Stegostoma tigrinum: one gene and its partners. The protein of the gene in region 1 purifies or fractionates together with the protein of each later gene. This does not show direct contact. Links are inferred from orthologs where the notes say so. Each region holds a gene or a part of one and is shown in the gene's direction. Other genes may lie near its edges.

Region 1 (7,951 bases):
AGAACTTAATGATTTCCTGTTTTGATTGGGGAATGAGGAACTGTGCTATAGTGTGAAGCTTTGTAGAATAGTGGTGGTAGTGTTCTGGTAATGACTCTGGGCTGGTAGTATATATATATACCAGTAATATATACCAAGAGTAATATATACCAAGAAGGAGATAAATATTTCATTTTTTCAGAAAACTTTCTGAAGAAAGGTCTAGGCCCGAAACGTCAGCCTTCCTGCTCCCTTGATGCTGCTTGGCCTGCTGTGTTCAACCAGCTCCACACCTTGTTATCTCACTTTAGGGTTCACCTGGAGCACTGACAATGTGGTCCTCTGGCTGACAGGTTTTGGCTCTGTTGGCCTTTTTCATTGCTTTCTGGGAGATTTTCAAGGTTCTCAGGAGTTGCTTCTGGAATGCAGCTACACTCTAACATGGAAACCTGCTCCCCTGCTCCAAAAATACCTCCTTGATCAATTCCAGAGGCTCTCACACTTGGTGTCTGTGAAATAACTAAAGTAAAATCCATGGTTTCAGTGGGTGAGTCCCTGGTGGTGAACAGCGGAAAATCTTGTCCTTTTTCACCAGTCATGGGAATGCTCATAGTCATGTAGCACGGAAACAGGTCCTTTGGTCCAACCAGTCTATGCTGACCACTTTCCCAAACTAAATGAATCCCACCTGCCTGCAATTAACCCATAACCCTTCAAACCCTTCCTGCTCATGAACCTATCTAAATGTCTTTTAAACTGTATCTGCATCCATCACTTCCTCTGGAAATCCACGTGAACTACTCTGAATAAAAAGGTTGTTGCCTTCATTTCCTTTATAAATCTTTCTACTCTCACCTTAAAAAAAAGGCCTGCTAGTTTTGAACTCCCTAACGTTAGGGAAAAGACCTTTGCTATTCACTTTATCTGTGCCCCTCATGATTTTAGAAAATCCTATGAAGGTCACCCCTTGACCTCCTGCACCCCAATGAAAAATGTCCTATCCAGCCTATTTCTACAACGCAAACCCTCTATTTCTGACAACAGCCTGGTAAATATTTTCTGAATTGCCTCCAGTTTAATAATAATTTTCCAATAACAGGGCGACCAGAACTCCACACAGTACTCATGGCAGTGTGCCCTGATGATTGTTCTCAGGGTCTGAGGGTATCATTCCAACGTCCCTCTCCCCCATAACTGTGGATGATATCTGAACAAATTGGAACAAGCCGGATCGCATTGGGCAGACGAAGTCAAGTGAAGAATTGAACCAATTCCCACTCCACTGCTCTGGTGGATATGGTTCTCAGGAACAGACTCTGGAAAATAGATAACCAAGTTCATGATGATGAGGATGTATTGATCGCCCCTTTTTTTCTTGAGGGGTGCTACACAGTCTGTCAACATTTTGCTGACTGATTCCCTGAAACAAAACCTTCCGGTAGGTAACGGCCGACTGGTATTTTTGTTAGACTATTAATCCAGAGACCCTGGTAATGTTCTGGGGACCCGGGTTCAAATTCTGCCATGGCAGATTGTGGACTTAAATGAAAATCTGGAACGAAGAGTCTAATAATAATAACTGCAAAAGCATTGCTGAATGTCAGAAAACCATATCAGATTCACTAATGTCCATTAGTCTGGCTCCAGACTCCAGGCCCACAGCAATATGCCCTTTGGACAGTAAGGGATGGATAATAAGTGCTAATCCCAGCCAGTGACACCAACGTCCCATGAATGAACAATAAAACAATGCAAACTTGGGAATCCTAGGGCAGGTCTTATTGTGAGTTGGGGTTTGCCCATAACCTGAAAACTTCTGCAAGACCTCACTACAACTTGTGGAGCTGTGACCACTTAAAATATTGGCTGATGTGGGAGTGGGTTTTGCATTTTCCAGCGTGACCAGCTGGCTGCAATATTTCTCCACCGTCCCTTTGCAGCACTGCCACCTGGTGGTCACTGTCCACTATCTATGAGGGAGATCTCCATTCCTACACCCACACCTCTTTTTTTTAATGTAGCAGCATTTAGGGACTGCTTCTGCAGTCTGAGTTAGGGCTTTGAACACCAGATCATCTTGGTGGGATGTTACCAAGGAAGGTCTCCTTACTACCTTCTTGATGTCTTGTAGATTCCAGAAAAGCTTTCAGACAACTGGATCAGCGGGTGAAGAAGGGTCCCGACCCGAAACGTCAGCCTTCCTGCTCCTGAGATGCTGCTTGGCCTGCTGTGTTCCTCCAGCTCCACACCTTGTTATCTGTTGGTTCAGGGGGTTTTCTGTTTGTTGTGTTGTCTCAGGTTGTATTGACTTTATGAGCATACACTTAGGGAGAATGCCAGACAGTTTCTCCTGGAGCCGTTAGGATTCCCTGACCTCATTGACCTCAGTGACCACTGGGGATACTACTACCCCATCAGATCAGTCCCAAGGACCAGATTGACCTCTCTCACATAGAAACTGGATAAGGTAGTCACTGGTCCTGACACCCAGTAAAGAGGTATGGGCAAGTACCCTTCTGCAAGCCCCTTTACCGTAATCTTGTACATGCCTTTTTCCAGAGCAGCATTTGACCAGCCCCATTCTTTTTTCTTTATTCATTCACGGGATGAGGGCTTCGCTGATCAGGCGGCATATATTGCCCATCCCTAATTGCCCAGAGGGCAGTTAAAAGTCAACCACATTGCTGTGGGTCTGGAGTCACATGCAGGTCAGACCGGGTAAGGATGGCAGTTTCCTTCCCTGGACATTAGTGAACCAGATGGGCTTTCCTGACAATCGATAATGGTTCTATGGTCATCATTAGAACCTTAATTCCAGATATTTATTAAATTCAAATTCCACCACCTGCCATGACTGTATTCGAACCTGGGTCCCCAGAACATTATCTGGGTCTGTGGATTAACAGTCCAGTGATAATACCACCAGGCCATCGCCTCCCCAGGTGGCTTGCTTGCCTCACCCTGTGGAAATCTGGCCACCCTTTCTTTGAATACAAAGTCTGGTAACTGTCAGGGATTTGGTTGCCCTCATTTTCTCTCTCAGCAGTGCCCCACAGTGATTTACAACTACAGTCAGAACTTTAGCCAGGCCTGCGAGTTTCCTGCCTGATTCTCATTCTCTGCACATTGTGGCATGTGCCCTGGTGGCTTCCTATTTTTCCTGTCAACAACTGTGTGAATGGTTCTCCGGAAACTGAACAGCTTAGAGGAACAAGTTGGAGGGAGACAGAAGTGTTCTGTCCATCCCTAGCTCAGGAGCAGTCTCCGTGTTCTCTGTAAACCTGAAGAAAACTACCTTGAGTCCCTGAGCAAGCAGTGAAAGCATCTGGAAAAAGATGGTTGAAGCAATTGCTGGTCAGCAGAAGAGCCATACGATAGAACCTGGGAGCAAAGTCTACTTTCCATTATTTCTCCTCTCTCTATACTATGTGTGCCCGCATGTATGCATGTGTGTGTGTGTGTGTGTGTCTGCCTGTGTAAGTAAGTAAGGGAGGAGTTTATAAGGAGGCTGGATTTTAATTAGTAGTATCATATGCTAACGGTTCATTACTATTTACCTGTAGTTAGTCATTCTTGTTCAGTGTAGAAATCTGGTCTGTGCATTCTATCAACCTAGGTTTGAAAGTCCAGTAAATTGGGAACCCTCAAAAAGCTTTAACTTTCACAATCATCCAGGGCTCAACTTGTAGCAGACTACTTCTTACAGAATTTGGGGCTTGTGTCGGATTGGTTCAGAAACAAAGAAAATGAGGATTAGAATGGTGCATGAGTAAATTATACAACAGAAAGAAAAACACCAGGCCCTGTACTGTGCTTAAGGCATAGCACTGGAAATATCAAGGGATTTCTGCAGGTGGCAGAGCTTTTGCTGGTGGTCTTGAAGGAAATGTCAAAACCAAGGTTGGTTTAGTAAAATGGATGTAGCACTGCCTGAAGGTAAAAAGCTAGAAAGTCAGAGATAAATGAGGTACAAGTGAGGCACTTGGAGGAAGTATAAAAAACGCTGAGTAATTTAGGTAGTGAAATGTCAGAATCGGTGATATTCAATGAAAAATTAAGCGACTGCAGGATGAGGACAAAATGAAAAACTGGGTGAGGAACTCCAAAGGGAAGTAAAAGACAAGGTCACTTCCTCAGATCAGAAAGGGAAGCATTGAGGGTGAAGATGACAATTGTAAGCTCATGGGTTTCCATTGAAACAATGTGGGACATATTCATCCAGAATGCTGAAAGTAGAAAAATAAATCAATGGAGCTTAATGGGTTTCTAAGAATGATATGAAAAGGAAACTCAATAGGAAAAGGCCACGCAGATCAGGTTGTAGTTTTAACTACAACTAAGAGTCAGGAGGGAACATTGCTGTGAGTGTAGAAATAATACATAGAATAGATGAGAAATGTGAAGGGTTTTCTTCTGAAGGAAAAAAACCCTTTTTCTTCAAAGGAAGAGTTGAAGCCCAATACTCTCCTAAGAGACACAGACATTACTCGAACTCTACTGGAGAAGGATATAGATTTACCTCCAGAGAGTTAATTGAAAGCCAAAGTATTGGAAAATGGGAGAAATGGAGAGCAAATCCCATTCCATTGTATGGGGTCCAATTGAACAGTGACTCATTGTCTGGTCTAATGGTCATCAGGATAGTTAAGAAGTTACCTGTAGAAGAAGATTGATGAACGGCAGAGCAGGCTAGAAGGGCAGAATAGCCTCTTCCATCTCCTATCGTCGATGTTTCTTCCGACTAACTGGTAACGAGTCAGCCAATACCAGTCATTGCCACAAGGAGGCTCTTTACTGATTTGGCTCTGCGCAGGCGCTAATTCCACCAGGTGGAAAGCCTGATCAGGATAACGAAGTGTGAGGCTGGATGAACACAGCAGGCCAAGCAGCATCTCAGGAGCACAAAAGCTGATGTTTCGGGCGAAGGGTCTCGGTCCGAAACGTCAGCTTTTGTGCTCCTAAGATGCTGCTTGGCCTGCTGTGTTCATCCAGCTCCACATTTTATTATCTTGGATTCTCCAGCATCTGCAGTTCCCATTATCTCTGAAAGCCTGGTCAGTTCGAGCGGGAAGGACTCCAATTCCCAGCATGCCTCGGCCCTCGCCCTGTGACGTTTGATGCCCGGGTCGCCGCCCCCTGTCCGTGCGTCATCGCGCAGCGCCGGTACGTTAACATAAAGTCAGCAAGATGGCGGAGGCGGAAAGTTTGGAGACGGCGTCGGAGCACGAGCGAATCCTGCGGGAGATCGAGAGCACGGATTCGGCCTGTATCGGGCCCACGCTGCGGTGAGCGGCCGGGACTGGGGGTTAGGGCTCAGGCTGAACCGAGCACGCCGCCGTACTGGGAGAGGAGATACAGGCACCCTCCCCAGCCCAGGATCAGGAGTACGCCCCCTTATCCCCCACGCACAGGACCACCCCACTCCCTTCCCCACCCTCATCCTAGGGCCCCACCCCCTTATCCCCCACCCCCTTATCCCCCACCCACAGGACCTTACTCACCCTCATCCCCGGGTCCAACCCCCTTATCCCCACACCCATCCCCCTTATCCCCACACCCATCCCCATCCCCATCCCCACACCCATTCCCACCCTCATCCCCACCCTTGCCCCCCCTCATCCCCACCCTTCCCCCCCCTCATCCCCACCCTTCCCCCCCCCCCTCATCCCCACCCTTTCCCCCCCCCCTCATCCCCACCCTTTCCCCCCCCCCTCATCCCCACCCTTTCCCCCCCCTCATCCCCACCCTTCCCCCCCCTCATCCCCACCCGCAGGATCACCCTGCCCCCTTATCCCCCGCCCGCAGGATCACCCTGCCCCCTTATCCCCCGCCCGCAGGATCACCCTGCCCCCTTATCCCCCGCCCGCAGGATCACCCTGCCCCCTTATCCCCCGCCCGCAGGATCACCCCGCCCCCTTCCTCACCCTCATCCCAGGGTCCAACCCACTTATCTCTCACCCACAGGACCACCCCACCCCCTTATTCCCCCACCCACAGGATCACCCTGCCCCCTTCCCACCCTCATCACAGGGTCCAGCTCCCTTATCCCCCACCCTCAGGATCACCCTGCCCCACCCCGCCCTCATCCGAGGGTCCAGCCCCCTTCTCCCCCACCCACAGGACCACTTTCTCCCCTTCCCCACTGTCATCCCCGGGGCCGAGCATCTTCTCTGCCTTCCCCGTCATCGCCCCAGACCACTCCCTTTTCCCTCCTCTTCCCCATCACTCCAGGACCACCCCATTCTCCCCCTTTCTCACCATTACTCCAGGACCACCCCATTGTCCCCCTTTCCCATCATTCGTCCAGAACCAACTCCTCCTCTACCCAGTATCATCCGTCCCAGGACCATTCCCTCCTCTACTACCACCACCATCATCCTCATCCTCATCCCAACTGTCCTGCCCCAATCACCACCATTATCCCAAGAGCATCTCTTAGCCTTGACATCCCAGGACCATTCCCCTTAGCCTCATCATAAATTCATTATTCCCCTCAAAACTTTCCGGGACCACCAACACCCCATGATCCCAGGTGTTCCTTATGAGACAGGAATCTCATCCCGAGAACCCATTTGTGTCTCCTCTCTTTTCAGATCAACTCATTTCCTGGGATGGCCATTTCATGATCCTCGGATTGCCCTTCATCCTGGGGACCCCCACATGGCAGACACACACTTTATTCCAGGATTTCTCTCATATAGAGTCAGTGGGAACACCACCCTCATCCTGGGATTCCCTCATGCAGATGGGACACTTCCACCTGGCAGATTCATTTCCCTATCCTGAACCCTACCTTATCCCAAACTCCCCCCTCCCCCAGTCATCCAAAGTCTCCTGAACCTAGGGACGACCACCTTGCCCCCATTCCAGAAAATGCCTCAACTCGGGATGACTCCTTAATCCTTGAAAGTGGAGTTGCAGGTTGACAGGATGGTGGTGGCATTTGGCACGCTTGCCTACATTCGTCAAAGCATTGACTGTAGGAGTTGGGATGTCGTGTTGCTGGTGCACAGGACATTGATGAAACCACTTGTTGAGTACTGTGTATAATTCTCGTCGCCCTTCTGTAGGAAACATGTTGTTAAACTTGACAGCATGCAGGAAAAAAAATTCAAGGGTGTTCTGTGGTTGGACAGTTTAACCAGTAGGGAAAACCTGAATAGGCTGGGGCTTTTTTCCTGGAGCATTGAGGGCTGAGGCATGATCTTATAAAAGTTTGTAACATCAATAGGAGTGTGGGTAGGTTGAATAGCAAAGGCCTTTTCTCCAGGGTCGGGGGAGTCCAAAACCAGAGGGTGTAGGTTTAAAGTGAGAGGGGAAAGATTTAAAAGGGTTGCGAGGGGCAACGTTTTCCCCCCTCAGGCACCTCAAATCTTAGAGTGCCCATGGGATCACCCCCGTCTTCGTGCTCCCACTGTATTCTGATGCCACTCTCTTGTCAGATCAACTCGTCCTGAAGTGTTGCCAGTTTGAAGATGAGCACTCCCCAAGCTTAGTGTGTCATTGGATAGAATGTCATTCTCAAGAATGCATATTGTGAAGGGGCAAATGAATTCTATTGAATAGCAATTTCACCAATTCTTACAGCTTCTAAGAAGGGAGTGCACTCATTTTGTGTATGATTCTCAGCTGTTTTAAGGAACTGTGGTCAGTGAACCCTGCAACAACAGATTCAGTAATAGCGAGTTTTGAGAAGATTTGTAACTCAGGTTGAGGTTCTGGATGTGAGTTTGCTTGCTGAGCTGGAAGGTTAGTTTTCAAACGGTTCGTCACCATTCTAGGTAACATCATCAGTGAGCCTCCGATGAATCGCTGGTGTTATGTCCGGCTTTCTATTTACCTGTTTAGGTTTCCTAAACAGAAAAATAGAAAGCGCTGGTGTTATGTCCCGCTTTCTATTTATCTGTTTAGGAAACCTAAACAGATAAAAAGAAAGCGGGACACAACTCCAGTGCTTCATTGGAGGCTCACT
Region 2 (7,109 bases), on another chromosome or scaffold:
CAGTGAGTGTCAATAAATTATTGCCTTGCCAATAATGCCAATATCCCATTTGCAATTCTGTTATAAACACAGGTGCCTGCAACATATTCCTCATCTTCTTCGTTTGCATTTGTATGATGCTTTGAATACTTACCAAGTCAAAATGATTTTGTATTTTTTGTTCAAAAGTGTCATAATCATAAGAATCAGAAAACACAGACAATAATCATATGAAATCAGACACAGCAAATTGTTTCATTGACATAGTAAGATAGGAGCATCACATGTTATTAAATATTTACTTAAGAACATCATTCTGATTGCATCTACATAAAAATATCGATGTTACTTGTAACAATAAATTAGAGCTAAGGTTGAAAGTAGATACCGTTTTAAACAATTTTACCCCATTGCATTCATTCATTATATCTGTGACCTAATTACTGCAAGATCAAAGGGATTTCACCTCAGTACATCACTGGGAGACATTAAACATTGTTCCATACATCACATATTAAATGTGATAACCCCAACATTACGTTTTAATTCAGACAGCTTCCCTGTGAAGATTTATATAATTCTCTTTGCCTGTTGTCTCAAAAATGTTTATTCTTCTGTGTTGTCTCTTTCAGAACACCAGAAAGAGAAACAAATATGCCTAGCCTATTAAATCAAGTATTAAAGAGATAAAATTTTGAGAACAAGTGCTTCTCCATCACTGTTTACAAACTGTTAAAATACTTTGTCAATGTTGCTGCTCATTTTTGTAAATAAATATAAAAACAGCAATAATGTACAGAAAGCAACATGTATTTATGAAATGACAATTTAGCTTTAACATATGTCATATCTTTAATACTTTGCTTTTGTTTGTGTCTAATAATCTTTTTCTTTTGGGATAGTGCAGATTATTGCAAAAAAGCACTTGTTGGTCAAATATTTGCTGATAGCCATTCCTCGGTTCCAACAAATTGCCTTAAAGTCAACTTTATAAACCCACTCCACAACAACAAACAACAACAACACAAATTTCATAAACCCACTGCTGTAACAAATAGGTGTTTAACAGTTCAAACCTATGACTGCTAAGTACTTGTTCCCTGTCAGCTCCCCACTTCCCTTTTGGAGAACGTCAAGGTTTCTACACCCAGTTGTTCTGCAGTTCCTATTGCATATTTTAGAAGTTTTCACTGGCAGATATTTCTGAGATCATTTGTAAGTTTTAAATTACATTTTATTTTCAATGCCAGTCAATCTTAAGTAGTGTTGCACACATGTAGTCAAGACATAATATTGTTTTCAGATGGAGAAAAACACAATAATGTATTTCAGTCCAGGTTTGGCATCATACACTCTGTCCTTTCCTGTTCACTTCTATGATAGGTTCCTATGTCTCCACCTTTAAATGGATATGACCTGTGAGGCTTTAAACTGAGGGTCCATCTGCCCTTTCAGGTAAATGTAAATGATCTCATAGTACTACTTCAAAGAAAAAACAGGGGAGTTGGTGTCCAAGTCCAAGTCAACAATTATCCCTAAAACAAGTTCACTAAAATAAAGTATGAACTCATTATTGCGTTGTGTTGTGCATGGATTAGCTGTCATATCTTCAGTGATGACAATTCAAAAGTATTCAATTGCTCATGAGAATTTTGGAATGTTCTAACATTGGAGAAATACTATATAATTGCAAGCTCTATTATTTTTCCTTCCCTATGTAAAACTATTCTATCCACTACCCTATGTGGTGTTGCTACACTTTCCAGAATAAATATGGACAAAAGGGTTTTCAATGGTAAAATAATAACTGGAGGTCTTTGTAAATGTAAAGTTTTTAATATAGGGTTTGAAATATATATATATGCAATAACTGTGTTTTTCTAAAGCTTGAGAAGATTGGTTCTGTTCAAAAACAAAACTTTGTAAAATCTTCATTACAGTACAGTTTACATCATTGAATTCCATATTTCCTTAATGAAAATACATAGAAGAAAATTATCCTCATTTTCTTTCAGATTGTGTGGATCTATCAGGAGAACATGTAAACAGTCAGTTTCTCCAATGAATGTTTTTTTCAATGTTTGACAATGAAAGAATCCTTCAAGTTCTGCCATTTTGCAGTGTGCACTAATTATTGTTTTATAATTACAAAACATTGTAAATACTTAGTTTAAAAACCTACAATAAAGTATTTGTACAGATCTTGTCAAAACGTCTTGGAATTGCTGCTATCAGTGTCTTTGCAAGTAGCATACAACTCAACAAGGCACCAAAGATAGACAAGTGTTGTTTGAAGTTGTAAATTCTAGGCTATCTTTCTTTAACACAGTGCTATTGTTATGTCTATTTATTGCAAGAACATTTTGATGTGAATTAAAAAGGGAAAAATGGGCATAAATCAGAACATTATCCCCCAAAATTCTGTGGCTGCTGGAGGTGTCCATGACAGATATCAGTAGATTTTTGTTGGGTAAGTGGTAAAGAATGTGGAGCAAGGCAGACAAATGCAATTGAGGTGCAGACCAGCCATGATTTGAGCAGACTCTTGGTGTTGAATACTCCTGCTACTAATATTCAGCTGGAACACAAGTTGTGGATGAGGCAGAATGTCTTGAGTTCAAGTTCTGATCCAGGAAGTGGAGAATAAATTCTGGGCTGAAACTGCCATTGCGGTACTGTGTTAGTGCTGCACAGTTGCAGGTGCTGCCTTATAATTGAGACACTAAGGTAAGACTTACTCTCACTGTGTGCTCTCAAGTGCACTCAGATCAATGTGAAAACACCATGTGACAATTTGATGAAAAGCAGTGGCATTTCTCCCCAGTGCCCAGGGCTGTATTTATTCCTGTAGCAACAATGAATTATGTGGTCATTATCAAATTATCCTGTGGGTTTGTCCTGTGAACAATTGGTTACTGTAATTCCCTATATTATTACAGTAACAATTGTTTAAAATATTTCAATGGCTAAAAAGCTTTGGAATGTGTTGAGATAATGAAAGGTGCTGTTCGAATGCAAGCATTTCTTCACATAATTTGACAAATTATAGGGCAGTTTGACCCATCATGCCTCTGCCAGCTCTCCGGATGGGATATTCACTTAGTGCCATTTCCTGGTCTTCTGTCTGAAACCCTGTATATTCTTCCTTTTCAGATAATAGTCTAACTCTACTGTGAGTGCTTCAACTGAATCTGCCTTTGTTACAATCTCAGTTAGTACACCTTAAACAGAACCACTCATTATGTGAAAAAAATCTCATTGCCTTTGTTTCTTTTACTAATTATTGTAAAACTATGTCATTATGTTCTCTATCTCTTCACAAATGGTAAGTTTCTCCCGATCTATTTTGGTAGGATTGCTCACTGCATCTATTAAATCTCTGTTCAGCCTTCTACTCTCCAACAGAAATGGTCCTTCATAACTTTCTCATCTTGAGAACCGTTCTCATGATTTTTTTTCTGAACTCTCTCCTATGCCTTCACATCCTCACCAAAATGTGGTGCCTGGACTAGCTGGGCTCGCAACCCCAGTTTAAGACAATCTCACGTTCTATCAACATAGCCAACTTGCTTTCGCACACTTCTCTCAGCAACTGGTTAGCCTTGAATTGTCTTCCACAGGCAGAAGCAAAGGCTGGATCTTTGAAGTCATTCAAGGTTGAGTTAGCTAGGGTTTTGATCAACAAGGAAGTCAAGGGCTATGGGAAACAAGCAGGCAAGTAGAGGCAAGGCAGTGAGATCAGCCGTGATCTTTTTGACATCGCTCACGCATAAGGGTTTGAATGGCCCACTCCAGATCCCAGATTTTATGTAACTCCCAGTGTCTATTAGTATACTTTGCTATAATTTCGGCCATAGATTGTTTGTTGTGGTTTGTAGAGATTATTTTTAAGATAGACTCTCTTTGCAGCGTATACAGACTTTGGTTTAGATAAATTATGTTTGCTACGACAGCTTCAGACTGCTCTAGACATAGCTCACTGATTTCTTGGATAGTCTAATGCAGATAGGAATGGAGACCGCAGCCAAAGTACAATCTCCAAACCGTTCCCCAGCTGGCCGGAAATGTACTTGCTCTGCCGTGGTGCATGCTGGGTTATGTAGTTTCCCCAATGCGACAGGCCGACTACACTACCCGTCGGACGGCGCGGTTTCTAATCTGGCCGGTCGGAGTTTCGTGCCGTCGCGGGACACGGTTTGAATGCTCGTGGTGTTCGATTTCGTTATTGTCTTCCCGCCGTCCCTCTGGCGCTGCGAGAGGCCGTAGTACCCCAGGCAGGGTTAGGAGGATCTGGAGTGGTGAAGGTGGTGCTAGGCCCGGGCCTGGGGCCTGTTCCTGCTGCTTGAAGTGCAGAGAGGCGTCAAAAGACAAGAAACGGTCAAACGAGCCCGGGTGTGGTGTTATTTCGTTCCCAGGGTAGGACAGTCAGTGACATTTGCGGTTCGGGACGCATTTCGTTTCAGATTAAGAGTGCAGTCTGGTGACATTGCAGTCGCTGGCTCTGGGTAAATGTTAGTGCGGGTCTATGGGAGTCTGTGCTTGTCTGGTGTTCTCAGTCTAGCAATCTTATTAAAATCCTCAGATCCAACTGTGCGTGTTATTGCAGTCTCAGGGCCTGGTAAATGGCAATCATTGCGAACCCTTGTCAATGATGATATTACAGCTTCAAGATCTGGGACTTGCTTCCTTCTCTGTGCTATTGCTACCCCACGCTGTCGTGTTATTGTTCAGCTGTGTTGTTATTTATTGTTGTCCTAGAACTGGAGATGAAATATATTAGAAAGTTACCTTTACATAAGGCAATTGTCAAAAGTTTACGATAGCCTTAAAGAATTGTTATTGTGAAGTGTCAGTTAAAGGATTATGTCAAAATTTCAATCCAGCACTTACTATCCTTTAGTCTTGGTCAGGTAGCTAAAGTTTCTTATTGTAGTGCACTATGTTCAACCAGAATGAGGGCATATTGATTTGAGAGCAGCTTAAACAGGTGAACTGAGCTCTGGGTAACACCCTAGCAGAAAAGTGGAGTTATGATCATTCACTCCCGCAGTACTACATTAAAGTGTCACGTTAGTTTTTGCAGAGTCCTGTGCTAGTGTTGAAGCTTCAGTCTTTTTGCCTTCAGAAGGGTGATTGCTATCACAGAGACAAACTGGCACTCAGTATCTCTGCAGAATTCCATTTCCATTCTTCCATTCTGATAACACCAAGTCATATGGGGCAATGTAGTGGGGAATGACCACTGTTTTGTTGCAGCTACCAACAAAATGGGACATTACTTTTTGTTCATGATTAGACAACTTGATAGGATGATTATTTGTAGTACTATACCTGTTACCAATGTCAATATACATTTTGCATCACTTTAGTTTCATAAATGCCTAATTATTTATGATTTTCAGAGAAGTATTTGGTTTTGTAGCTTTATTTATAACATTTCATTACAAAATCAAGTCCTTTATTTGGACACTGTCTGAGAAGATTTTTTCCCCAGTTTTATGAACAATTTATTTGCAGCAAAATTGTGAATGCCGTTTTGTTGTAGGATGTATTTGCAATCAGAAACATTTTTTTAAAATCAGTAATGGTATTTGTTTTAGGGAGTATTTCATGTTTCATAACACAAACTTGATTCCTGCTATAGAGAGGTTTTTTCCTCAGTAAAATTGTGTTTGTTTTTTAAGTTGTAGTTTATTTCTGCTAGCCACTTTACTGTCTTGCTCAACATCCCTACTGTATCAGCAAGTGTAATTCTGTCTCTGTTAATCTGACTTCACTATTGTCCCTTATATGTTCTGTACTGTTCAGCAGCTTCAAGCCAAACTTTAAAGCAATATTGTTTCTTTCTCACTCTGCAGCCACCTAGTCTGAACACTCATTTCAGTTAAACTAATTCTAGTGTAAAATATGAATCAAGATCAGTCATGTGCGTGCTAAAAAATCTGGATTCTGGGAGTCATTTAGCCTCCTGTCCCGAGTTCCAAAATGATTCAGAGTAATAATACTTTGGTTATATTTTATTCAGCATAAGTAAGATTCAAGATATGCAATTGTTTGAACACTGTTATGCTGTAGGTGGAAGACTGGCATAACCAGGGAGTGATTATGGAGAGACCAATCAGTGGGGCATCTGGCCCAGGCTTCTTTACAATTCCCAATGTCTTGTAAGGTCTGTCTGTTTGTGAGATTGTCTCAAATCTGCTTTGAACAGACACCGTTCACTCAAAATTCCTTTGTATGCTTCCTTTCTGCAGTAAATTGATCTCTGGAAATCAATTCAACCCAGTCACTGCCTCGCTGTATCTGAATGGCCCAACTACCAAAGATGTCAAATTCATCCATCTGCTAGGCCAGGGTAAACTCTTAGGAGCTTTAGCTTCCCATTTTACCTATCAGTTTGGAAACTTTGAGTGGATAGTGCTTGGCCAAATGATGATCTTGGTAATGACTGAGCTAAATCAGTCTCCATCGACTTTGGAAATAAAGTGTAAGGATGGAATTCCTAGCAGAGGAGCTAGACAAACTAAAACTGTTGTTAAATTAAAAGGTTTATCTTTGCGTTAAGAAGGTTCTGTTCTTCGCCAACTGGCTTTTTGTAATACAACACATCAGGCTAAAATGGTTTATAGCATCTTACTCCAATGCCCTGAGTTGGCAGCTTTTTTTCTTTCCCAATGTACAAAATGCAAAAGTGGTAAAAGAAGGTTATGCGTCTGCTGATCATATAATATTCTTTCATTTGGGTCATTGAGCCACATTACTTGATCTTGTTGACAGGCTAAAGTCTGTGATGCAGTGCAGCATCAAGGTTATGAAAGCTGGAGATAAAATGGTAAATCAAGAACCAGTGATTTATTGAGATCAGAGATAATGGGAACTGCAGATGCTGGAGAATCCGAGATAACAAAGTGTGGAGCTGGATGAACACAGCAGGCCAAGCAGCATCTTAGGAGTACAAAAGCTGACGTTTCAGGCCTAGACCCTTCATCAGAAAAGGAGGACGGGGAGAGGATTCTGAAATAGGTAGGGCGAGGGGGGAGGCGGGCCAAAGATGGTTAGAGGAGAATATAGGTGGAGAGGAGAGTATGCGTGGTGAGGTGGGGAGGGGATAGGTCAGTCCAGGGAGGACG
Region 3 (7,782 bases), about 76 Mb from region 1:
ACTGCCCTCCAACCGCGCCACACCCAGCACCTTCCCCTGCAACCGCAGGAAATGCTACACTTGCCCCCACACCTCCTCCCTCACCCCCATTCCAGGCCCCAAGATGACATTCCACATTAAGCAGAGGTTCACCTGCACATCTGCCAATGTGGTATACTGCATCCACTGTACCCGGTGTGGATTCCTCTACATTGGGGAAACCAAGCGGAGGCTTGGAGACCGCTTTGCAGAACACCTCCGCTCAGTTCGCAATAAAACAACTACAACTCCCAGTCGCGAACCATTTCCACTCCCCCTCCCATTCTTTAGATAACATGTCCATCATGGGCCTCCTGCAGTGCCACAATGATGCCACCCGAAGGTTGCAGGAACAACAACTCATATTCCGCTTGGGAACCCTGCAGCCTAATGGTATCAATGTGGACTTCACCAGTTTCAAAATCTCCCCTTCCCCCACTGCATCCCTAAACCAGCCCAGTTCGTCCCCTCCCCCCACTGCACCACACAACCAGCCCAGCTCTTCCCCTCCCCCCACTGCATCCCAAAACCAGCCCAGCCTGTCTCTGCCTCCCTAACCTGTTCTTCCTCTCACCCATCCCTTCCTCCCACCCCAAGCCGCACCTCCATTTCCTACCTACTAACCTCATCCCACCTCCTTGACCTGTCCATCTTCCCTGGACTGACCTATCCCCTCCCTACCTCTCCAACTATACTCTCCTCTCCACCTATCTTCTTTTCTCTCCATCTTCGGTCCGTCTCCCCCTCTCTCCCTATTTATTCCAGAACCCTCACCCCATCCTCCTCTCTGATGAAGGGTCTAGGCCTGAAACATCAGCTTTTGTGCTCCTGAGATGCTGCTTGGCCTGCTGTGTTCATCCAGCTTCACACTTTATTATCTTGGATTCTCCAGCATCTGCAGTTCCCATTATCAAAAATGGAACTCCAGTTGGAATCTGTGTTGGATAAATCAGAGCCAGATCCAGAGCCACACCTAGTCACTGAGGAAGGAGATGTGGCTATGACACTCAGTCATGGCAAACACAAGGAGAGAAATAGAAAGCAGTATCATTTTCATATTATACACAAAATATTAACACTATTTCTGGCTCCAGATTTGCTGCCAGACTTGTGAAATTTCGTCAGTGTTTTGTTTTATTTCAAAATCTTGTTAATTGCATTCAAATGGTTTTCTGCTTTTGGAAAATTCCATGAATGACTTAAACCTTCTCTGAAGTTCTCAAAGGTCGATCATCTCCTCAAAACATAGTTAACAAGACTCTGATTATTTGATTTTTAACAGCTCACATAATGGCTTTGCTACCATAGCATCAGCTTCCCTTTCTTCCTATATTTAAAAACTACAATGACCAAACTAAATTTCCTATAATATATTCATCCTATATGACCTATGATATATTCTATAATGCATACATTCACAATAAATTTTATCGTCTACCTGCATCATAGTAGCAGGAATGCACCTCAGCAAACCTGGCTGGTGTTGGTGTGTTCTCATCCCAACCCCTTCCAACCTCGACCTCAATAAGGTTTGCTGCTATTCAGCTTTCACTCACTCTATGTCATTCATTTTCTTGCTCCCACTGTATTATACCAGCTTCCACTCTCACTGATTTACCCAGATTCTGCTTTTGCTGACCTATTCCATTTTCCCTCAGACTACTTTATCCTATTTCCACTCTCATTGCTTTGGATGAAGATTTTGTAGGATAAATTTAGAGCATTGAACAGATTATGCCAACCTTTGGTTTTTAACGCATGTCATGTAGAACAAAGTAAAGACTGAGAGAGTAAAGGAATAGTACAGCTTTGATGTCCTGGGAAGGGTAAGACATAGTATATTCATACTTCATCTCTCTAACTTGAGGATATATTTCCTCTGAGAAAGGTTCAAAAATTCATGACAAAATCTTTCAAACAAGCTGCCAAACTGCTATGAGTGAATGAGTACTTCCTTTTCACTGTCTAAATCTTTTTCAATTCTGCTTCCTGGTGAATTGCTTTTCATAATTCTTCAAACATTGTGTTTCTGATGCTCAGTTTGATCTATCATTTTAAATAATTTCTCCAATCTGACTTTCCCCTTACATTGTTCCAATGTTTCTATCCTAATTACTCTTAAGGTCTTCTCCTTGAAGAAGTCGTTTCAGATTTGACAGGTAATACGGTAAATTTTGTATAATGTCACCCAGGTTCTTGTTCTCTGTGGTTCCATTCCTGAAAATAAAAAAAAATTGTGGCTACTTTCTTAATACTGCTAATATTTATATTGTATCTGATGGAGTATCTCTGTGCCATTTTGAAATTATTATAAAGTACTTTACTCTGTATAATGCATTAAGATATTTTGTACATTAGAAACATTATGCAAGTATCACGTATGACAACGTATATGTTTCGGTTGACATCTGATTTACAAACTGAGTTGGCCTCTTTGCTAATTAACATACTATTTGTAAATTGTTATATTGACCATGTAAAATACTCAATGCTATGTGCAATAATTGCATATTTAGATTTCAGTTCCATACTAACCTCCAATTCCTTTGTATATGTAACTTAATTATCAGATAAGATACTGCAAGGCAAAAAATAGTACTTAGTAACAATTTGATTCTCTCAGAAACTGATAAACAGGATTGTACTCATTTGTATTTAACTGTTTGCTATAATAACATTTTCAGCAGGAATTGAATTGAATTAATCATCAAACATTTACACAGACAAGATAGATCGTAATGCTAAGATGAAAATTTGATAACATTAATGTGTTTTGGGGGCACCACAAATACCTTTCGAACTTGAGAACTACATAAGGATGGTTGCAGCACACACATGTGCACATGCATACACTGAATCATCAGACAACCAGAAAAGTTGACGTTTCGGGTAGGGACCCTTCTTCAGAAAAAGAGTCCCGAACCGAAACATCAACATTTCTGCTCCTCGAATGCTGCCTAGCCTACTGTGTTCCTCCAACTCCACACTGTGTTATCTCTGACTCCAGCATCTGCAGCTCTTAATATATCATGCACTGAATCATATTGGCTGCCATATATGTGACAGTATTAATCTATACATAGTGAATGTCAGCTGGAAGAATTCAGAACTCATGACATGCAATATTGATTTGACACCAATCAGGACATTATTGAGCTCATCACTCCAGCAATGTCCTCTCTTCATATCATATAACAGTTGCTCAACAACACAAAGGACCACTGAGCAGCACTATTTAAAACATTGAGCTACATACAAGCTAGTTCTTTGTTTGATTTCTTCCAGTTGTTATCATGATTCTCTACATCTTTGGTGCTTTCAATGGTTATTCATGTTACAAATATCAGAGGGAATAGTGTGCCTGATGATGAAAGACTTCTTGATGACTTCCAATTGCAAAACACAGTTGCTTCCAGACTTGGGTGTATTAGTAAGGATTCTGCTAGCTCTACATCATAAGTTGGAGAATAAGGAGAGGTCATTCAGAGTAAAGGGGAAAAGGGGCATTGAGGAAAAAGAGAGAGGCACCTATCAGGAGGTGTTCAGGGAGCAATTTTTCTATGTAAACTTCAATGAAAAACAATGGGAGAAATTTAACACACCCTGAGGCAAGTTTGGACACAAGGGCATTTATTCTGGTTGGGATCCACCATCTTCCTGATTATGCCTGGGCCAGGAAGATTAATGCCAATTTAAGGCCTCCTCCTGCCATTGTCTACTCTCACCTAGCAGATAATGGGGATATTGCCAAGCAGGAAGCCTGTAAAGCTAACCCTTGCCAGCTCCCTATGTGTGGGGATCACTCATTCAATGACACTCATTGCCTGATTGAGAGATCTGGGGTTAAGAGGGCTGAAGTTGCAGAAAGTCTTACCCTGCCCTCGCTCTTGAAACCCTTCTCCTGAAAATGGACTGCAGCTTGTCAAGAAAGTAGTTTACTATCACCTTCTCAAGGGCAATTAGGGGTAAGCAACATTTGCTGACCTAGCCAGCGATGCTCGTCCCTTGTGAAAACATTTAAAAAGGTTTCCACAGTCAAGCCAACTCAATCTGAGGTATCTTCTTAGCCCCAAACAATGTGGGGAGCGGTGACACAGTTGGAAAAATATGGCAAGAACAGAGAAACGAATTCTAAACATTAAGAAAAATATGCCCAATTTTTCCACACAAGTCTTTAACAGCCAAATGCAGTTTGGAGCTCACCAACACCAAGAAGGGTTGGGGGTCTGGAATGCACTGCCTGGGAGGGTTGTTGATGCGGATAACCTCACAAGCTTTTAAAAAAATGTTTGGATGAACAGACGAAGTGTCATAACATTGAAGGCTGTCAGCCTAGTGTGAGAAAGTGGGACTAGTGTAGGCAGTTTATCTTTCGGCTGTACAGACTCAATGGGCCAAAGGGCCTCTTCTGTATTGTATGATTCTAAGACGGGAGGAAAGAGTCACGTATGGATCATACGAAGACAAGAGGTGGAAATCTGGAAGAAAAGTTGATTAAATTTTCAAACAAGATCCATCTGCACAATTCAACAAAACAAAATCGAAATTCACTAAATGTTTGCATTTAACAGTTAGTTAAAATCTCTGACAGTGCTAGAAAAACAGCTGAAAATAAGACTGTAGAGCTGACACATCTCTTCCAGCATGGAAAGAGTAAATAGCAAAGCTTTGCCAGTCTGAATGATGGCGCCTTTCAAATTGTCATATGGGGCGGGCGGTACATATCCGGATGTGACAGTGGAGGTGGTTCAGTTCCGGATCCGGCATTGGGATGTTGGCTGTTGGTTGTTGTTGAGAGGTCGTCTCTGTTGGACGGGATCTGCTTTCTGCTTTAAGGTAAACACGATGGGGTGCAGTGGGCTGGGGCTAACAGTACGGGGGAATTGGCTCGGATTCGAGTCAGAGTTGTTGCAAAAAGCCCGGAGATTGGGGACAGTATTAGCTGGAAAGTGTCATTTTTCCCAGCTATTTAAACTTGGATATCATAGTTTTTATTGTGATAAGAATGTGGTACATTATAAAGTAGGAACCATCTGTCAGTATCTTCCTGTCTGCTCAAAACAGAAATCACACTGAGGCCATTTTCAGTTCCTCCAGTACTAACTGGTTGGATTTATTCTGGTGAGCAATTGCAGTCGATTGTAAGTCGCACAATGTCACTGAAGAAGAATCAGCAGTTTTCCAATCAAACCAAAAGTGAATCAGCATAATTAAAATAAAATAAAATAAAACAAAATCCACAAAAATTGTGAGGAGGGCATGTTGCCTAATTCTTAATATCATTATCAGTGTGTGGGGATCCCTGCATCCTCAAGATTTCAATGGTTTTAACAGGTTTCAGTTCACTGCATTTTCTGTCTACAGTGCCAACCAGTCAATGTAGGAAGACAACCAGACTCATTCTGTGTCTCTAACTTGACAATATCAACAGTAAGGCCAAATCATTTTGGTAAATAATTGAACTTGTTATATACAGTTTTTACTATGTATTAACTGTATTGATAAATTTTGCAACTGTAATTTACTACTTTAATCACTCGCTGGTCAAATTGGTTCATTCTGAATCTATCTTGGTCAAAGTTACCAACACCACCTTTGGCGATTGTAGCTGTGGTGCACCATTCTTGCCCTTACCAACCCCTCCATGGCATTTAGTTCTGTTGATGATTTCAAGTTCCTTCCTTTCCTTCCCTTTAATATCTGTGACACAATGCTCACTTGATTACACTGCACCCTGTTCTAAAGCAGCCTGCAAACTCTTTACTACATGGCTTCTGTAATTTTCTCTAAGTTCCATTACTGATTCCTTCCTCTTTCCTATCTATATGATGTTCCATGGTTTCTGCACACGTAGTATTAATGGCTACTTACCCTCCCTTGCCTACATCTCAGGTTGTTTGTCTGATCTGGTGCTGGTCATGTATATTGGGCATCCTTCATAATGTTAAAGCCATTTGTTTTTCTCCACTACAGTTACTTCGTATCCTTGTCTCTGTGTGACCTTAGTCAAAATCCATGTAGAATCAAATCATCCAGATTGCTCATTTCCTTCTCCACAGGAAAGCACTCTACTGTACAGACTTCACCTTTCCTGTTGCCCATCAATACTGCTTTAGTTCATGTCCCTAGCTCCTCTAAGCAAGTTCCAATTCACTTCACTAGTCTTCCACCCATTGTGTGTGGTACTTGGTCTATAATGCCAGTTCCTACTGTTCTCCATTGGCCTCTAGTTCCCTAAAGTATTAAATTCAAATCCGTCCCCAGCCAAACCCCATCTTACCTTCGAAATGCCTCTTAACTCTAGTCCCTTTCTGCTCTGTTACAGTACATTTTTCTGTGTGGCCATCTCTTCCCACTCTACTTAAAACCTACTTCCGTGATCATGTTTTTGGTTCTCTCCTATACTTTCACCGTTGAGCAACTAATTTCACCTGTTTGAAACACCTTGTAAAGTTTTACATTAATGAACACTAGAAACATCTATCTCTACTTTTCAGTCATTTTGTTACTCAAAGGTTGCTTGTTCTGATGTACAGCATGCACATTTAGATAGGGCCTTTTAATTCAGACATTTTAACTTTATTCTCTGTGTTAATCCCATCACAATTAAACATTCACTTCCTCCAACCGCCAATGTATAGTGGCATCGACAAGAGACACTGCAGCGACTTGGCCTACTGTATTCATCCAGCTCTACACTTTGTCATCTTGGATTCTCTAGCATCAGCAGTTCCCATTATCTCTTTCAACAGCAGCCCAGAATGTGAAGTACAAAGTTGTGCGGGTGTCAAAAATCTGAACAAAAAACATACTGGAATCTTAATTGGCCAGACAGCAGCTGTAGAGGAACAGATGTCCACTTGTCGATATAGATTTTTTTTTTTGGCAGTTTTGGGAAAGGTATCACACCCAGAATATTTGAGTTGCATTCTGAAATGCATTATCATAGGTTTGAACTGAGTGATTGATTGATATAGAAGCCTGCACAGAATAAAGCAAGGGGAACCAACAGTTTAATGTGAAGGTTCACCAAGCCTGTGAAAATTTAATCACAAGGTCAACCAGTGAGAGTACACTTGCCTCCTGAATTCATATGTGGAAAAATCAGGAGAGGTCCCTCCACTGGTAAGCCATTTCTCTCCCATGATGCTGATAGCCTCAAGTACATCTACTGGTAAGCCTTTCTGCAGCAAATGCGTGAAACATCTTGTGGTTGGAGGAATGTCAAGCGTTGGGAAAATGAATGGCAGCATATCAGTATGAACACAGCAGCAGTTGTGGGAGAGGCTGCAAAGATGAGACAACCATTTTAAACTTGGCAAGAAAGGAATGTTCAAACTGGGAGCCTGGAAAATTTAAAGGAATTCCTAACAAAAGACTGTATGTGGAGTCTCTAGCTAAGTTCAGGACCTACTTTCGGCAGGAAAATATGTTGAATACTGTTGTATTGAGTACTTGGGTAATCCAATACTGAATTTTTACTTCAGAAGAAAGATTGGCATTTATGTATTATCATATCTGTGTTTTGCATTTTATGAAATAGCCAAAAATGCATCATTTTGCAGATGGTACAATCCTAAATAGTAAAGAATAACTAAACTTTTATTGTACCTCATGACTTTCAGCTATTTCAGAGTACTTCGCAGCCAATTTAAAAACTTTGGAAGTGTAGTCACTGTGGGACATATCCCCTGACTGGGGACAAAAATTCAAAAGGCAGGCGGGATTCAGGCAAGTGGAAGATGTTTTTTTAAGCAGAAACCA
Region 4 (6,998 bases), on another chromosome or scaffold:
ATGTGACTAAACTTATGACATTTCCAGCTAATATTCCTGGCAAGAATTTGACAGGGAAAGGCACGCCTGACTGAAGGACAGTGGAGAAGGCACTAGACATTCCAGAAGACATTTCTAGTTGTAAATTGAGAGATTAAGTACTTTTTAATTAAATTTGATTTATAAGTGTAGGACTTCTATTTACTATAGCATACCAATAGAATTTTGTCTTATCCTGGAATAGTTTCTAGTTCAGGGGGGACAATTGTTCAGTTTCTAAGTAGTTATGTTTATTTGTTTATGGTTCGAGTAGTTAAATTGTTACTTGCTGATCTAGAGTGAGACTGTCAGGACCTCATTTCATTTAACCTCCCCTTTATAACAGATTGGGCAGTGAGAGGCAGACTATCACTTTTCACACTTGCTCTAAGAAACGAGGAGGAGAGGCTATCTTCTCTAGGGTGTTTCGGTTTCAGTTAGTTATCAGAGGCTGGGGTGGGGTCAACCTCTTTAATAAGATGTATCTATTGTTCAAGTATTCCAGTTAATTAAGAGAGGTCCTCAATGTGTAAAAACACACCTGAGTAATAGAAACATAATGCAATGGGTATGCACACATACTTTAATTACAGAATGAATTAAATTACTTAAATATGATGCAACCTTAAGACAGTCATCTCATTTGCACCCTCAACTGATTACTTGTACATTGCTAAGACTGCAATAATACAGTAAACCTGTTACTTAAGGGATATGACTTGCTGGTTTTATCTGAGATTGCAGTTAAAAAAGATATACTAAAAGCTCCAAGGGAATTTGGATTTAAGATGGTTATTTGGCCTGGAGCAAGCTGGAAAGAAACCAATATTGATGCAAACTGCCTTCAATGGATGCCAATACAACCATTTAAAAAGCTCAAACTGCATGAAATCTGTATGTACATCTGAGGTATAAAAGATGCTCACTTTAAAATAAAAATGCCCCACTTTATCAAGTTAAAAATCCATAGTTTTTGAGACTAAAAGTAGTTAAGGTCCAAACAAAAAAGTAGTCATGGCCAAATTTGAGATTTGCCTCACTATTACTGACTGGGAGTTCTACTTCAGCTTTTGAAGTCTCCCAGAGATTACACCAGGCATACTTGCAACTGAATTCGCTAAATATTCATCGTACTACCTTTCCAAATGTAACCACTTTTTTGCTCCGACCTGTTGTAAGTTTGAAACCCTGTACAATTATCCTCTTCACTAGCAGAGTGCTCCACTGTGTGTAGCAAGTGAAATTCAGCTAGGATTTGATGCAAGATACTTTCATTACTTCCGGTTAAGACTGATTTAGTTGCTTCTGTGATTCCAGTTATCTGGGATGCACCTCTTCCTGGTTATGGAAGGATAAGCAGCATGACTGAGGGATTGCAGAAAAGATAGAAATCCTCTCTACAAATGGTAGAGTTACTAAAAAGAAGTTTTCTTCAAGTTATCAGGCTTTTCATGTTTGCACAGGGAAGCATCACTTTCATCCCCAAACTCCAATAAAAATATAATAAAAATAAAAACTGCAAATGCTGGAAATCTGAACAGATTTGTGTTTTCAATAACACAAACAACTTGAAGAAACATAGGTCCAGTGACATCTGGAGAGAAAGCAGAATCAAAGTTTCAAGTCCAGTGACCCATCTTTCAAAACTACCAGACCTGCTGAGTTTCTACTGTAATTTCTGGTTTGTTATTATTGTAAACAAGAGTCTGTTTTGGCTTTCCAGCATCTGTGGCCCTTTGGCTTGTGTTTCCAATAAATACATAGTTTGCTTCATCGCTAAAATATTTTCATTTCAGCCAGCTCAAACAAGCTAGACAGACACCTCAGTCAAAATCAAAAAAGCTTTTGCTAAGCAGAAGCTGTGCAGCTTAACCCCACCAGTTATCCTCAAAAATGTCAATTTATAGGATAAATGGACATGTGGGACAAGTAGCCAGACAGCAAGAAAAATAGTTTACGTTCATAGATTTTTAAATTCATTTTCTTCAGATGTCCCTCTGCATCAGTCATTTATCTGAAGTTACAATATGGAAATCTACCACCTTAGCAGAGAACACGTTACTGTCACTACATCAGTGATTTCTGAGGTAATGCAAACCTGATACCCTTGGAATTTCAGAACTATAAAAACTTTCAACAGAGGGAGCAGCCTTGAACTTATTACAATGCAAGGAGGGTGGGAAGTATATGGACCTTCCATCATTAACACTATCCTGAAGAAAGGATCATGTTCCACAGAAGCATCCTTGCAGAAGAAATTCCTAACCTGGGGGAGATCAGTGCAGTTAGGACCACAGATTCACCAGCCACAATTTCTAAAAAAAAGTGTTGCAAAGAGAACACAGTCACAGGCTAACTAAATTACAGAGTATGTTAACAGGCTGAACTGCCTACTTGTAGAGTAGACTCAATTGACCAGGCACACTTAATGCCAGAACAGAGGCTGCAAATAATGTTTGAAGTTAAGTCTGAAGTGAAATCAGAATTTTATCAGCACACCAGCCTACTTCTTGTAGGAAGGAAATACCAGAGGTCACAGTATTGACACAATCAGCACATACCTCAACCAAGTCTCGCCTGGGTCGCAGTTTCAGCAAAGGTTCACTGATACGTATAGAACACAATCCTCCTCTGCCCTCATAGCTGCACACACCCGCACAACTGTAACAGATCCACAGTAGGTAAGCTCAATTTATTCAGCATGAGAAACAGCAAGTAGCACAAACAATCAACAAGAGTGAAGATTTAATGCAGATGTCAAAAGTGCATTGTCAAGTCTATCCAACTTTGTTTAGAGCGATTTTTTTGTAAAGGAAAAGATGGCAAAAATTGAGATTCAAGATTCCAGATTCCCTCCTTCAATGAGCAGGTCTTTTCAGCACATGCAAGAAAAAAGTACAGCTATTATTTGTAGAGATAACAGAGTGGAGGTGGAGGAGCACTGCAGCATCAGAAGAGCAGGCAAGATGCCATTTCGGCCCCTGCTTTTCTGGTGTTGCCTGACCTGCTGTGCTCCTCCAGCTCCACACTGTTTTATCTCCGACTCCAGCATCTGCAGTTCTCAGAGTCAGCTATTATTTGTGCCGTAGTCTTCTGGATTGGATATTGACGCTAAGTTTTGTTGACCGGCTTCAACAAGGAGACAGGGGAGTGGGATATCGCGGGAAGCACCGACTCCCCTTTCAGCAAACCGCGGTGAAGCCGCGGCCTATCCACAACTCACAGAGTCATCCGCGGGCTCCAGCGAACCTCCACCCCGGACAGCCGGCCCCAGAAATACAAGTCATTAAACTGCAGGAAGAGGCCGTGCAGGTCGGGGTTCGGGTCGATCAGCTCCCAATCCGGGTCCACCACGGACAGAGACGCCGGAGGCTGCGGGACCATACCAGGGCTCGAGCTGGCATCGCTACGGTCCTCCTCGTCCCAGGAGGCCTGCAACTGAAGCGCCAACAACAAATCACCATCCATACCGCTCAGCACCGCCTCCTGCAACCACCCAACTGACGTAGACAAACGGAGGTAGGGCCTCTCCCTTTACTTGGCGAATCACATGATGGAGCCGCAAACATAACAGCCAATGGCAGCGCAGGATGATACCACGGGCCACCCAATGACAAATCAGAATGGGACTACCAACGTTAACCAATGCAAAGTCAGCATTGGAGAAGCAAATCAACAGCCAAGCACAAAAAAAAGCTCAGCAGGTCTGGTCATCTGTGAAGAAAAAGATCAGAGTTCCGGTGACTCTTCCTCATGCAAGCGCACAATTAAAGACAGACAGCCAATCATGATCTAGACAGCTGTCAGAGCGACGAATGGGACTGCGGGTCACGGGGAGCACGGCAACCAATCGGACGCCGGAACCGCCACAGCGTGGCCAATAGGAGAGCGGATTACTGCTGGCGGCGCACCAGTCAGAAGTCAGTATTGGCGCAGTGTGACCAATGGGACTGCGGGTCGTTGCTGACGGCCAGCCAATTGGAGGCTGCAGATGAGCGGCGGAGCCCAGGCCTCGGTAGTCGTTTGGAGGAGCGACCTGACGCAGAGAGCAGGGCCCCCGAGCGTGGAGGCCGGACGGGAGCAGTTGTGAAAAACCCGAGGGCGGTATATATTGTGGTGGGGTGGCTAAATCAACCTCCCACCGGCGGCGGCAAGATGGCGGCGGACGTGGCCTCCAGGCTCCGGCGGCAGCTGGAAACCCCCCGCTTCGAGCCGGCCCAGTACGTGAAGCAGCTGTCGCAGCAGTCAGATGGTGACCGCGACCTGCAGGAGCACCGACACAAGATCCAGAGCCTGGCCGATGAGACGGCACAGAACCTGAAGAAGAATGTCTACAAGAACTACCGGCAATTTATCGAGACGGCCCGGGAGATCTCCTACCTGGAGAGTGAGATGTACCAGCTCAGTCACATCCTCACCGAGCAGAAGGGGATCATGGACGGCCTGACCCAGATGCTGCTGACCGCCGACAGGGAACAGCAGCAGCAACAGGGATCCCGCCAGCTGCAAGCCTCCATGGGCACGGCTGGCGGGACCTCATCGTCCTCTCTCGGCTCCTCCACCACAACTACCACCACCACCACCACCACCTCCACCTCCTCCTCCTCCGAAGCCTTCCTTATCCTGCCCCGGGAGGCCGAGGAGCACAAGCAGCGCACCCTCACCACCCTGCTGGAGAAGGTGGAAGGCTGCCAGGACATCCTGCAAACCCCGGGCCGCTACCTGGTCTACAACGGTGACCTGCTTGAGTGCGATGCCGAGAGCGCAGCTCAGATCCAGAGGGTGCACGCTTTCCTGATGAACGACTGCCTGCTGGTGGCTGCCTGGCTGCCCAGCCGCCGCGGGGCTGTTCGCTACCGCTACGACGCCCTGTATCCACTGGATAGCTTCGCCGTGGTCAATGTCAAGGACAACGGGCCCATGCGGGACATGTTCAAGATCCTCATGTTCCCCGACACGCGGGTCTTCCAGGCCGAGAACGCCAAGGTCAAGAAGGAGTGGCTGGAGATCCTGGACCAAACCAAGAAGAACAAGGCCCTGACTGAGCGCTTGGAGGTGGAGAAAGAGGAAGCCAAGGCCCGGCTGCTGGTGGCCGAGGAAGAGAAGCAACAGAGGCCTCTGTCACCGAAAACTAACCCATTTGAGGATGAGTCTGATCCAGCCATGGAGTTGGTGGACCTGAGCCTGGAATGGATTCAAGAGCTGCCCGAAGACCTGGATGTCTGTATTGCTCAGCGGGACTTTGAAGGCGCTGTTGACTTACTGGACAAATTGAACGAGTACCTGAGTAGAGCAACCAGCCAGCCCGCGGTGCGCCAGCTGAGGAGTCGTGTGGATCAGCGGGTCCGCCGTCTGACTGATGTGCTGATGTATGAGCTATCCCCTGGCCGCTCGCTCCGAGGTGGTCCACGGGCAACCCGCCGTGCTGTTTCTCAGCTGATCCGGCTGGGTCAGTCCACTAAAGCCTGCGAGCTCTTCCTGAAGAACCGGGCAGCTGCAGTGCAGACAGCAATCAGGCAGCTGCGCATCGAGGGAGCTACCCTGCTGTACATCCACAAACTCTGCAACATCTTCTTCACTGGCCTGCTGGACACGGCCAAGGAATTTGAGATGGATTTTGCTGGTGACAGTGGCTGTTACTCGGCCTTTGTGGTGTGGTCACGCTCAGCCACCCGGCTGTTTGTGGATGCCTTCAGCAAGCAGGTATTTGACAGCAAGGAGAGCCTGTCCACCACAGCTGAGTGCGTGGAGGTGGCCAAAGAACACTGCAGCAAGCTCAGTGAGATCGGCCTGGACCTCACCTTTACTCTTCAGGCACTGCTCGTCAAAGATATTAAGGCAGCCCTGCACAGCTACAAGGGCATCATCATGGAGGCCACCAAGCACAGAAATTCAGAAGAGATGTGGCGAAGAATGAACTTGATGACACCGGAGGCCTTGGCAAAATTGAAGGAGGAGATGAAAGCCAGTGGAATCACCAATTTTGATCAGTACACTGGAGATGACTGCTGGGTCAATCTCAGCTACACCATTGTGGCCTTCACAAAACAGCTGATGGCCTTCTTGGAGGAAGGGCTGAAGCTATACTTCCCTGAGCTGCACATGGTCCTTTTGGAAAGCCTGCGTGAGATCATCCTGGTGGCAGTGCAGCATGTTGACTACAGCCTGCGCTGTGAGCAGGACCCAGAAAAGAAAGTCTTCATTCGTGAGAATGTTTCATTCCTGTATGAGACTGTGCTCCCTGTGGTGGAGAGACGGTTTGAGGAAGGAGTTGGAACACCAGCCAAGCAGCTCCAGGATCTCCGCAATGGATCTCGAATCATTCGTGTCAATCCAGAAAGCACTAATTCATTTGTATAAACTCTAGGAGCACTTACAGATAAACCAATGATTGCAGACATTCCCTGCACAAGCATACACTTTTTTTTTATTAATTGCTTCAACACTAATGCTGCATAAACATTGTTTGTGGGACTCATCATGAACTCGCTACCTTAATAAATATACAACATGAAGATCAATGTTCTCCAGTAGATGTGAGCTGCCAATTTCAATTTCACCTGTCCTGTATTTTTGTGTCCTGTTGTATTCCACTAGTAAAAGCACTTGTGGCAGTATTGGTATTTGTTTTAATCAGAACACCGCTATGCAAGAACAATTGAACTTGATGAGAAAGTCTTTGCTGTTCAGCTGATCAGAATTCAGCATAGGAAGATTACATTTGAATTCTAAATGCCAAAACTGGGTTTTTTTTTAAAACTTCTCAGAATTATGGAACACTTAAAAAGAGTTTCAGCCTTTTAAGTCACAGGGAAGTACATCTATTTCAGCAACGACTAAAACATGCGGAGACCGCTGTTTCATAGAGTCATGGCATGTTGAACGCAGAAACAGGGCATTATATCTTAAAGTATGCATTGATGCTACTCTAACATAGTGTCACCGTCCTGACCAAGTCTGTTTTCAACCAACATGTCCCC

What was found.
Region 2: the proteins of exocyst complex component 6B-like (region 1) and exoc3 purify together in Homo sapiens (affinity purification with mass spectrometry; 3 studies listed by BioGRID and IntAct, counting the BioPlex papers as one, with this or other methods). This does not show direct contact. The link is inferred for Stegostoma tigrinum from reciprocal best matches to the Homo sapiens genes EXOC6B and EXOC3.
Region 3: the proteins of exocyst complex component 6B-like (region 1) and exoc1 purify together in Homo sapiens (affinity purification with mass spectrometry; 3 studies listed by BioGRID and IntAct, counting the BioPlex papers as one, with this or other methods). This does not show direct contact. The link is inferred for Stegostoma tigrinum from reciprocal best matches to the Homo sapiens genes EXOC6B and EXOC1.
Region 4: the proteins of exocyst complex component 6B-like (region 1) and exoc8 purify together in Homo sapiens (affinity purification with mass spectrometry; 3 studies listed by BioGRID and IntAct, counting the BioPlex papers as one, with this or other methods). This does not show direct contact. The link is inferred for Stegostoma tigrinum from reciprocal best matches to the Homo sapiens genes EXOC6B and EXOC8.

What each region holds. Positions count from the first base shown.
Region 1 is NC_081354.1:184,934,353-184,942,303, forward strand, and holds the start of exocyst complex component 6B-like, read left to right. Parts: upstream 1-4,935; 5' UTR 4,936-5,166; coding exon 5,167-5,264; intron 5,265-7,951. UniProt on the Homo sapiens protein: Component of the exocyst complex involved in the docking of exocytic vesicles with fusion sites on the plasma membrane.
Region 2 is NC_081355.1:20,903,126-20,910,234, reverse strand, and holds the start of exoc3 (exocyst complex component 3), read left to right. Parts: upstream 1-4,096; 5' UTR 4,097-4,395; intron 4,396-7,109. UniProt on the Homo sapiens protein: Component of the exocyst complex involved in the docking of exocytic vesicles with fusion sites on the plasma membrane.
Region 3 is NC_081354.1:109,168,409-109,176,190, forward strand, and holds the start of exoc1 (exocyst complex component 1), read left to right. Parts: upstream 1-4,760; 5' UTR 4,761-4,854; intron 4,855-7,782.
Region 4 is NC_081357.1:94,381,338-94,388,335, reverse strand, and holds exoc8 (exocyst complex component 8), read left to right. Parts: upstream 1-3,980; 5' UTR 3,981-4,173; coding exon 4,174-6,378; 3' UTR 6,379-6,635; downstream 6,636-6,998. Other genes in the region: DNA-dependent metalloprotease SPRTN, read right to left, coding at 2,580-2,679, 3,242-3,486. UniProt on the Homo sapiens protein: Component of the exocyst complex involved in the docking of exocytic vesicles with fusion sites on the plasma membrane.